Linked DNA regions of Rattus norvegicus. The protein of the gene in region 1 interacts with the protein of each later gene in a pairwise test. Links are inferred from orthologs where the notes say so. Each region holds a gene or a part of one and is shown in the gene's direction. Other genes may lie near its edges.

Evidence for each region.
Region 2: the proteins of Crx (region 1) and Larp4 interact in binary tests that used the Homo sapiens proteins (3 or more experiments, as listed by UniProt). The two-hybrid records come from large-scale screens. The link is inferred for Rattus norvegicus from reciprocal best matches to the Homo sapiens genes CRX and LARP4.
Region 3: the proteins of Crx (region 1) and M1ap interact in binary tests that used the Homo sapiens proteins (3 or more experiments, as listed by UniProt). The two-hybrid records come from large-scale screens. The link is inferred for Rattus norvegicus from reciprocal best matches to the Homo sapiens genes CRX and M1AP.

What each region holds. Positions count from the first base shown.
Region 1 is NC_086019.1:85,679,002-85,683,445, reverse strand, and holds the start of Crx (cone-rod homeobox protein), read left to right. Parts: upstream 1-1,593; 5' UTR 1,594-1,657; intron 1,658-4,444. UniProt on the Homo sapiens protein: Transcription factor that binds and transactivates the sequence 5'-TAATC[CA]-3' which is found upstream of several photoreceptor-specific genes, including the opsin genes.
Region 2 is NC_086025.1:133,010,734-133,014,388, forward strand, and holds part of Larp4 (la-related protein 4), read left to right. Parts: intron 1-1,792; coding exon 1,793-2,005; intron 2,006-2,746; coding exon 2,747-2,850; intron 2,851-3,655. UniProt on the Homo sapiens protein: RNA binding protein that binds to the poly-A tract of mRNA molecules. Associates with the 40S ribosomal subunit and with polysomes. Plays a role in the regulation of mRNA translation.
Region 3 is NC_086022.1:117,090,492-117,092,808, forward strand, and holds part of M1ap (meiosis 1 arrest protein), read left to right. Parts: intron 1-1,463; coding exon 1,464-1,604; intron 1,605-2,317. UniProt on the Homo sapiens protein: Required for meiosis I progression during spermatogenesis.

The sequences.
Region 1 (4,444 bases):
CTTTAGGTGCTTCTCAGCCATTTGATATTCCTCAGCTGAGAATTCTTTGTTTAGCTCTGTACCCCATACCCATCGTTCCAGCTGCATATATAGCAGAGGATGGCCTTGTTGGGCACCAATGGGAGGAGAAGCCCTTGGTCCTGCCAAAGCTGGATCCCCTGAGTGTAGAGGAATGTCAGAGTGGGGAGGCAGGAAGGGGAGGTGATTGGGGAGAAGGAACACCCTTACACAAGAAGGGGAGGGAGATGGGATAGAGGGCTTATGGATGGGAAACCGAGAGAGGGAATAACATTTGAAATGTAAATAAAAAATATCCAATAAAAAGCAAAACAACGGGCTGGAGAGATGGCTCAGTGGTTAAGAGCACTGACTGCTCTTCCAGAGGTCCTGAGTTCAAATCCCAGCAACCACATGGTGGCTCACAACCATCTGTAATGGGATCTGATGCCCTCTTCTGGTGTCTGAAGACAGCTACAATGTACTCATATATAAAAAGTAAATAAATCGGGGCTGGGGATTTAGCTCAGTGGTAGAGCACTTGCCTAGCAAGCGCAAGGCCCTGGGTTCGGTCCCCAGCTCCGGAAAAAAAAAAAAAGCAAAACAACAACAACAAAACCCAAATCTAAACAAAATAGACACAGAGAGACAGAGTCAGACACACAGAAACACTCAGAGATAAAAAGAGAGGAAGAGAGACAGGGAGGACAAGAACCAGAAGCAGAGTTTCAGAGAGACAGCCAGAGACAAGGATTAGAGTCTAGCAGAGACACAGGTGGAGATTGACAGAGACAGCCAGAGAGAGATTTAGAGACAGAGAGTCTAACAGAGACATAGAAACCCAGGGAGAGGCATAGACAGAGACACAAAGAAACTCTGAGAGACAGGGTCTGAGCTAGTGATGAAGATACAGAGGCAGAGATTAGAGGCAATTGAGAAGATACAAAGAGAGCAGTGGAGAGACTGCAGAGATATAGAGAGATGGAGTTGGAAACTGAGGGAGGGGAGGAAGGAGGGAGAGAGATGGAGAACACAGAGAAAGAGAGCCTGAGGTCAAAAGAAGGAGAACCATCAGGAACTACACATGTGAACTAGTTCACTCATCCAGAGTACAGATCTCTTCCCAGTTATTCTGGCTGTGTCAGGAGATTTACAAGTTCAACGCTAGCGTGGGCCACAAAGAACAACCCGGAAAGCCCTGTGCCTTTCTCTTCCCAGTCTCTCAGGAGCACTGTACACATTTCTCGGTGCTTTTGAAGACATTTCTTTCCAGATAATAGCTGATGCTGGAGGGACACCAGTTAGACCTAAGGAAAGACTTCCCCAGGAGTGGGGACTCCTGGTTGCCGGCAGGAGTTGGGCCTTCCTTCCCTCCCTTCCTCATCAACCCTAATTGCCAAGATGTCACTGTGGGGGTGGTGGCGGTGGATTAAGCAGACGGTGCCCTTCCCCCAGCCAATGTCACCTCCTGTTGCCCAGTCGGTCCCCCACCTTCCCTGGGATTACCCTTCGAGATCCAGGCCACAATAGATGACATCACTCTCAGCTCAGGCTTAAAGTCACCCCATGTGAGGGGACCTATTTCCTCTAGCCTCTGCTGTCTGATGACACCATCCAGGACCTGGGCATCCAGGAGAGCCCCCATTTCTTCTTTCCAAAGGTGAGTCTTTGCAGGAGAGGCTGAGTGGACCAGGAAGAGAGAGAGAGGGGGTGGGTGGGGGAGAGAGAGTGAGAACGAGAGAGCGAGAGAGAGCAAGAGAGCGAGAGAGCGAGAGAGCGAGAGAGAGGAGATTTTATTCTCACTCGTCCATGTTTTCTGGGCTTGGTATAGTTTGACACAAAGATGGATCTGTGATGCTTTCTGAATAAATTAAGGTAGGGTAGAGATTCCAGCAGGTGTTCAGGGAAACAGGCCACTTAGGACCATGGTTGGAGGGAGTTCAGAGGTGGAATGCACACATCCGTGTATGTGAGCATGTTTGTATGTTTGTGTGTGTATGTATGTATGTATGTATGTATGTATGTATGTATGTGTATATGTATGTATGTGTACAGCGTGTGTAAGTGTGTGCGTCCATGTAAGAGAGCATCTGTGGAGGACAGAGATAGACATATTGGGTGTCTTCCTAAATACTTCCCGTTTGCTATTTTTTCCTAGAACTCTCTATGTAGACCAGGCTGGCCTTGATCTGATGGATCTTCCTGACCCTGCCATCCAAGTACTTAAGGTTAAAGGTGTTCACCACCACACTCAGCCTATCTCAGACAATGTCTTTTACTGAACTTGGATCTCCCTTCTGAGCTGAGGCTGGCTGGACAGTGAGCCCTGTGTATCTGTTTGTCCCTGTTTCCCCAGCGCTGGGGTTATAGTGTGCCCAGCTTTTATCTGGATGCTGGGGATCTGAACTCAGATCCTTACATATGCACAGAAGGTGCTTTATGTACTAAGCCATCTCCCCACTCCCCCGCAACCTTTTAAATTTTATTTATTTATTTATTGAGAGGAAGTCTTATGGAGCATCGGGTGGTCTTGAACTTGTTCTGTAATAGAGGCTGGTCCTGAACTCCTGATCTTTGTACACCACTACTCCCACTTGTATTGTCTTTAACTCTTTGGGATTTTTCTTCTCTGTTTGTAAGGATATATATATATATATATATATATATATATATATATATATATATTATATATTATATAATATATACATTATATATCCTGTTGAGGCCAATGTGGCTAATTTCTGTTCAATGCCAGCTCAACATAGTAAACTGGAATTCTTTCTCTAAAGTTGAGAGCAGGGCTAATGTTTCTAAGAACTCAAGTTATAGATGTTGAGTTTTGAAGGGAAACACCAATATTACTAATTTTTTTGCCTCAATGACTGTAGAAACTTTTCTAGGGCCTGTGGTCATCCAAATGAAATTATAGAGACATGTGGCAGGGCATAGTGGTGTATGCCTTCAATCCTAGCATTCAGGAGGTAGAGGCAAGCAGATCTGTCAGCTTGAGGTCAGCCTGATCTACAGAGTAAGTTTTAGGTTAGCTAGGACTTCATAAACTTTATATCAAAGGGAGACCTTGTCTTAAAAAAAAATATGGGGAGTTGGATGGCTCAGTGGTTACGAGTACTGGCTGCTCTTCAGGAGGATTGGGGTTTTGATTCCAAGCACCTACATGGTGGCTCACAGCTGTTTGTAATTACAGTTCCAGGGTACTTTTCTGGCTTCTTCTGATGGTACCAGGTGTGTTTGTGTTCATAGAAATACATGCAGACAAAACACCCATACACATAATATTAAACAAAACACTAACACAATGAAAGTAAAAAAAAAAATCCTAGGAACACCAAAGTTCGATATTACTGCTGCATATTTCTCTCTCTCTCTCTCTCTCTCTCTCTCTCTCTCTTGTCACAGTCTTTTATAGCACATGCTGGCCTTGGATTTGCTATATAGCTGAGGATGACCTTGAACTTTTGATCCTTCTACTTCTACCTACAGAGTCCTAGGATTACAGGTGTGAGACTCATGTTACTGTTTCTTCTCGTGTGTGTGTATGTGTATGTGTGTAATATATGCATGGAAGTGTGTGTATCTATTTGAATATGCCTGCATATTTGGAGGCCAGAGGATAACATCAACGTTTTTTCTTCTATTCCTCCTCTGCCTTATTGCTTTGAGACAAGGTCTCTCAGTGAACTAGGCACAGGGCATTTTGACAAGGCTGGCTGCATAGCTAGCTCTTGAGACCCACCTGTTTCTACCCTTCTTAAGGCTATAGTTCCAGGCATACAAAGCCATGTCTGGCTTTTTACATGGTAGCTACAAATGTAAACACAGGTTCTCATGCTTTTGCACTTAGCACTCTTCTCTACTTAACCATTTCTACCATGCCCACCCCACCTCACTTTTGAGACAAGGGCTCATGTATCCCAGGGTAGCCTCTAACATGATAAGTAGCCTAGAATGTCATTGACCGCCCCCAGCCTCCATCATCTGAATTTTAGAATTACCGGTGTGTGCCACCATACCCAGTTTATGTGATATTGGGGATTGAACCCAGGGGCTTAATACATTCGAGGCAAGTACTGTAACCAGCTGACCTATACCCCAAGCTTCCCATTGTCATTGTTAGACAGAGTGTGCTTATGAATCCCAGGTTGGCTTTGAATTTGGATCAATCCTCCTGCCTCAGGCTATGAGTGGCATATGTGAGCAAGCCTCCACACCCAGATAGAGGGTGAGAAGGAGGGGCTGGAGAGATGGCCCAGTGGTTAAGAACACTGACTGCTTTCCTTGAGGTCCTGAGTTCAATTCCCAGCCATCACATCTGTAATGAGATTTGATGCTCTCTTCTGGTGTGTCTGAAGACAGCTGGCTGCAGTGCACTCCTATACATAAAATAAATAAATTAAAAAACAAAACAAAAAAACAAGAGAGGGAGGGG
Region 2 (3,655 bases), on another chromosome or scaffold:
CTAGTCTTTCTGGTGGGGGTGATTGTTGTTGGGCTTTTGTTATTGTCCTGTTTCTCTTAGAAGAGTTAAGATACAAGAGCAGGTGTCTTATAAACCTGTCGGAATTTTAAAGCATTTTCTGATTGTCCTACTTCAGAAAATTAATGCACAGAACATGAAAATATTTTGAATACAGAAGTTCTTTACACGGAAACAAAGTTTTAAAAGTGATTCACAGCCTATAATTTCGGATCTCAAAATGTGTAGTAGGAATACTTCTTTAGTGGTGATAAAGACCACTTTGATTTTTCATCCCTGTCTCAGTTGTTGTCCATTTGAGAAGGAATCGCATCAGTAGTACTTCGTGTGCTTACATTTATTTACTTTGTTGTCAGATTTCACGAAATTTGCCTTCCTACTTCTTCCCATCGTTATTCATGGTTTAGATTTGAGCAGATGGTGCAGCCTCATAACCACTGTGATCTCCTGACTCCTCCTTCCTTGTCTCTCACTGCGCATCCTTGCAGTGTAGCACTGCACACACACAAACTAGTTCTTATGAGCAAAGGCAGTCAAGGGGTCACAGCTCCTGTTTGTAACCTCACCGTTGTTCTGGAGGCTGAGTGAGAGAAACAGGCGTTTCAGGTTAGTTATATAGGTAGCTTGAGTTATATATAGTGAGTTTAAGGCAAGACTGGGTGCTTTGGAAAGACCACCTAATGAGACACCTGAGGCTCTTTCCTCCACTTTGCCTACTGAAGAAAATGGCAGTAACCAGCCAAGTTGTGCACGACTGGTGAGTATGTAAAACAGTCAGGATGCAAGTAGCTGGCACTTAAGAGAACTGTAACAGGTACTACTGGAAGAAGAACTTCACATTTAAATCTGTAGTTCCTATGGGGCAGATGATAGTATGAGTTTCCATATTCCAGATGAGTTTCATTTGCTAGTAGTCATCCATCTACCTTTGGTCTTTGTCTTTTGTTTTAAATACTATTCCCTCTGAGACTATGGAGATTCTGTTTCCTTTCTCCTACTGACTTAAAGCTTTATATTTAGGTGTTTGATAAAACATGACTAATTTTGATACACGTGCGCACACATACACGAACGTGTCTGCTTGTTGATGGAGTCGGCCACAGGTCAGAGATGTCCTGGGGGTCTTGTCCTTCTTCCTCCATCTCTGCTTCCTGTGTAACAGCTTTATTGTCCTATTTCATAGTGACTTCTTCCGTATCTTTTTATGAACCAAATAAAGTGGATAGCAGGGGTTTTTTTATTTTTAGTTAAACTTCAAGTTTTTCTTTAGGATTTACTTTTTTTTTTTTCCTTTTTTTTTCCTTTTTTCTTTTTTCTTTTTTTCGGAGCCGGGGACCGAAAGGATTTACTTTTATTATTGACTACAATAATAAAATTTATAGGTGAGTGTGTCTGCATGTGAGTATTTGAGTGTGAGTATAGGTGCCAGCAGAGTAGCAGAGTCCAGGGCACCTGTCTGTTGTTCGCTGTTTCCTATAACCTAATGCCCTCCAGTTTCATGTTATTACAGGTGCTACGATCTCCCTTTGCAGATCTAGAGACCTGAAGAGGAGCAGGATCTTTCTTAACCATTGATCCAACCCAAATTCTCTTATTTTTACTTTGTTTATTGTGGCTCTTCTCATGTCTACACTTTTCTACTGATTAAAGTTATTGTTTTCTTTTGCTCAGTTGATTCTAAGTAGAAATCATAAGATAATATAAAAAAAAAGTTGAATATATTTATTGCAAAATATACTTCATAGTTTATTATTTGTCTTCTTCCTGCTTTTAGGCAAGGATAAAAGCCATCAATACATTTTTTGCTAAGAATGGTTATCGATTAATGGATTCTAGTATGTATACTCAACCCATTCAGACTCCAACCCAGTATCCCTCGCCAGTCTTCATGCAGCCAGTGTACAATCCACATCAGCAGTACTCAGTGTATAGTATTGTGCCCCAGTCTTGGTCTCCAAGTCCTGCACCGTACTTTGAAACACCACTGGTAAGTGAGACTTAGAAAATAATAGAATATTTAGTTCAAGCTACGATTTGAGAAAAAAAATCATCTAAAAGCCAGATGCAGATGTGTTTGCCTGTAATGAGAGCAGCTGCAAGGCAGTGTTAACAGGATCATTAACAGGATCATACAGCAGACTCGTCTGCATAGCAGGTTGCACCACAGCTAGCCAGTTTGTCAACAGAATTTACGCACACAAACAAAACCCAAGAAGTTGGTCTGGTTCATTGATTCTGGATAATTATGACAGCTCTGCACTCAGTATAGACATATTGCTAAGAAGTAGGCTATTAGTGTCTACAATTTGATTCTTTACATTTTGCTAAGCGAATTAAAAAAGAAAATAAATCCTTTGTGATTCATTTATTTATTTATTGAAAGAGAGCCTTACTATGTAGCCCTGACTGTCCTAGAACTCTGTATACCTGGCTTACCTTGAACTCTGAGAGCTGCCTGCCTCTGGAGTGCTGGGACTTAAGGTGTGCTCCAGTGCCGTGTTCCCAGGTGATGGTTACCTAACTCTAGTGCTGTAAGATTCTGTCCTGAGTGTTTTGTCTGTAATGAGTGGTGTGTTGTTACAGTACAGTGAGATGAGCTGTAAGCATTGCAGAAGTGAGAATGCAGAGTTTTCTACTGACTTGTTGACTGTACCTCACTCTGGTTTCTCTCTCAACCCTCTCTGAAATATTTTAACCCTTACCATTAAATATCAACATTTTCTTCTAGGCTCCCTTTCCCAATGGTAGCTTTGTGAATGGCTTTAGTTCACCGGGATCTTATAAAACAAATGCTGCTGCTATGAATATGGGCCGACCATTCCAAAAAAATCGGTAAGATTTAAAAAAAACTAATTGAAATTTATTTTAAACAATTTCCAGTAATTGTTGAGGAATTATTGCATTCTTTTGGGAGACTTGCTATAAGTATTAATTTTTTTTTTTTTTAAGATTTATTTATTTTCTATGAGTACACTGTCGCTCTCTTCAGACTTATTGGAAGAGGGCATCAGGTCCTATTACACATGGTTGTGAGCCACCATGTCATTGCTGGGAATTGAACTCAGGACCTCTGGAAGAGTCTCTTAACCACTGAGCCATTTCTCTACCCACACGTTTGTTAATTTTTACTTTTTAAAAGTGCATGAATTATTCAGTATAGAAGTTTAAAGATGCTTCATGGTCAGAATTAATAATAGATATAAAGGGGTGAGGATTTTAGTGGTTTCTGTCTGGTCTTTTAATTTTTATTTTATTTTGTGAGTACGAGTATTTTGCCTACAGAATGCGTGTGCACCACTTTCATTTCTGTTGCCTGGGTAGTCCAGAAGTTGTTATATCCCCAGAATTGGAGTTACAGGTGATTGTGAACTACTGTGTGTATTCTGAGAGTTGAAAGACAATCAGTACTCTTAACTACTGAGCCATCTTTCCACCCCCAGTTTATTTTTTAATGTGAATTCTGGGGATTAAGTTCAATTCCTCATGCTTAGAAGGCAAGCACTTAACCAACAGAGTTTCCTCTTCAACACATAAAATTTTAAGTACTGATCTTGCAAGTATTTATCTTTAAAAATAAAGGGTCAGGAAGGCTGGAGAGTTGGCTTAGCCCTTGAGAGCACCGCAGACTGTTCTGGTG
Region 3 (2,317 bases), on another chromosome or scaffold:
AAGGTTTGTCCACTCTTAGTGTAGCGGGAAGCACGGTGACACACATGGCACTGGAGCAGTAGCTGAGAGCTGCAGCCTGATCTTTGGGCAGCAGGTAGTGTGACACTGGGCTTGATGTGGGCTTTTGAAACCTCAACACCCACTCCCAGTCATACACCTCCTCCAACAAGGCCACAACTCCTAACGTTTCCAAAGCATTCACAACTGGGGACTAAGCGTGCAAATATGAGTCTATGGTGATCAATCTCATTTAAACTACTGCACCATGGGACAAATAGAATGGAGCTTGAGAAAGGGCCAAGGGAGAAAAATAGGGCTGTGGGGGAGGGGGAGGGGAGCAGAGAGCAGACGGGTATGTTCCGGCCATCAGAGATAAAAGCAAAGGCAGAAAATGAAATGGGAGGAAGTCAGTGGTCTGATTAAGGCATTGGGGAAAAAATGAATTGAGAAGCCATCCTGGTTTGCGAGAAGAGAATCTGTGAAAAGAGTTAAGAGAGAAACAGGCCTTGACATGGGCCAATAACTGAGAATTAGTGTCATCTGTCTTAGAGATGACCCCACAAACGCACGTACTGACACACTGTATGCTGGGCCACCCTGTGTGCTGTCACACTGTGCTCCTCTAATACATGTGCATACCTGTGCTCTCGGCCTCTGCTGGGGAGAAGGAATGGAAGAAGTCTGAACTTCAGACGCAAGAGGCCGACAGGCAGGGGTGGCCTTGCTCAGCGCCACCCTCCTTTTCTCCACCCCTCATCCCTGCTCTCCTCTCTGTCTAGATTCTGTCTTTCCTCCCTCTGGGCCCCCCAGGTTGGGGTGGGAGAGGAGGAGGCTCTGGACCGGGAGAATGGAAGCCACATTCACTGCTGGCTGGCCGGCTGAGAGTGGACAGGACAGAGGCTGGGATTGTGCTTGATGCTTGGCAGCCATGGGAATGCAAAGAGGTGGGCAGGAGCGCCATGGCTTCCTCAGCCAGTCTCACTTCAGGGCCAGTGGTTCCTGGCACAGGATGTTGTGGCCGGAAAACCTAACTACTCAGGAATGCTATGTTCAAATGTCCTCCTTCCATGCCCGACTCACCTCAGGCTGGGAACTCCCTGTACTTGTCTTGAGGACTAGAGCACCCCTACCTGAACACACACTCTCCCTCAGCCCTCCACACTGGGTCCCTTGTACCATTCTGGGGAGCTCTGGTTTTTCTCAGAACCCAGTGACATTTCCTGGGGCTAGTATTAGGAGGTTCAGAGTCTCTGACCACCAGATGTTCCACTTTCTTCTGTCCCTTCGCCTGACACAAGCATACCCTGCCTCCCGGGACAGAACAGTAGGACTCATCTGTCTCAGCCTCAACAGCACCCATGTCCTCGCCCTCTTCCAGTCTCTCACACACTCAGGTCTCTATGTGGCATCTCGTGTTCTGTGACCTTGACTTCCCTGAATAAATTCCCCCCTCTCGTCCCCAGAGCACACTAGACAGCCTGGAGCTGGGGCTCACCTACAACCCTCTGCAAGTTGGGAGCCATCTGTACTCACATCTGAGCAGCGCCCACGCCAAGCCTCAGGGACGGCCCTACACAAGCTGGGCAGGCCGGGGCCTTAGAAAGGTATCTCTCTTGTCCCCGCCTTCCCTTTCCCCTCTCATCCCCTTTGTGCCTTGAGTCCAAGGGATCCCTTCCTATCTACCCCCCACAACAGCCTGGGTCCCAAGAGAGCAACCCACTCCCCACACCCCACAAGTAGAGGGGAAACCAAGCTGAGGCAGGAGAGAGAACCTGCTGAGGCAGTCACACGCGATAGGGTGGGTCTGCTGGTCTGCTGGGTCTGCTGGGTCTGCTGGTTTTGGTTTTGGTTCTTTTATTTTCCTGAGACAACTGGTCTCATGGTGTAGCAGTGTAGCCCAAACTGATCCGGAGTTTGCCATTTGCCTGCTTCAGCCTCCTGATTGTGTGTGTGTGTGTGTGTGTGTGTGTGTGTGTGTGTGTGTGTATGTGTGTGGTGTATGTGTATGTGGTGTGTGTGTATGTGGGGGTGTTGTGGGGTGTGTATGTGTGTCTGTGTATGTGGTATATGTGGTATGTGTGTGTATATAGGGTGTGTGTGTGGTGTGTGTAGGTCTGTGTGTGGTATATGTGTGTATGTGGTGTATGTGTAGGTCTGTGTGTGGTGTATGTGTGTATGTGGTGTGGGGGGTGTGTGTATGTGATTTGTATATGGTGTGTGTGGGGTATATGTGGTGTGGTGTGTGTCTGTATTGTGTGGGGTGTGGTGGGGTGAGTGTGTGTGTGTGTGTGTGGTGTATGTGTGTGTGGTGTATGTG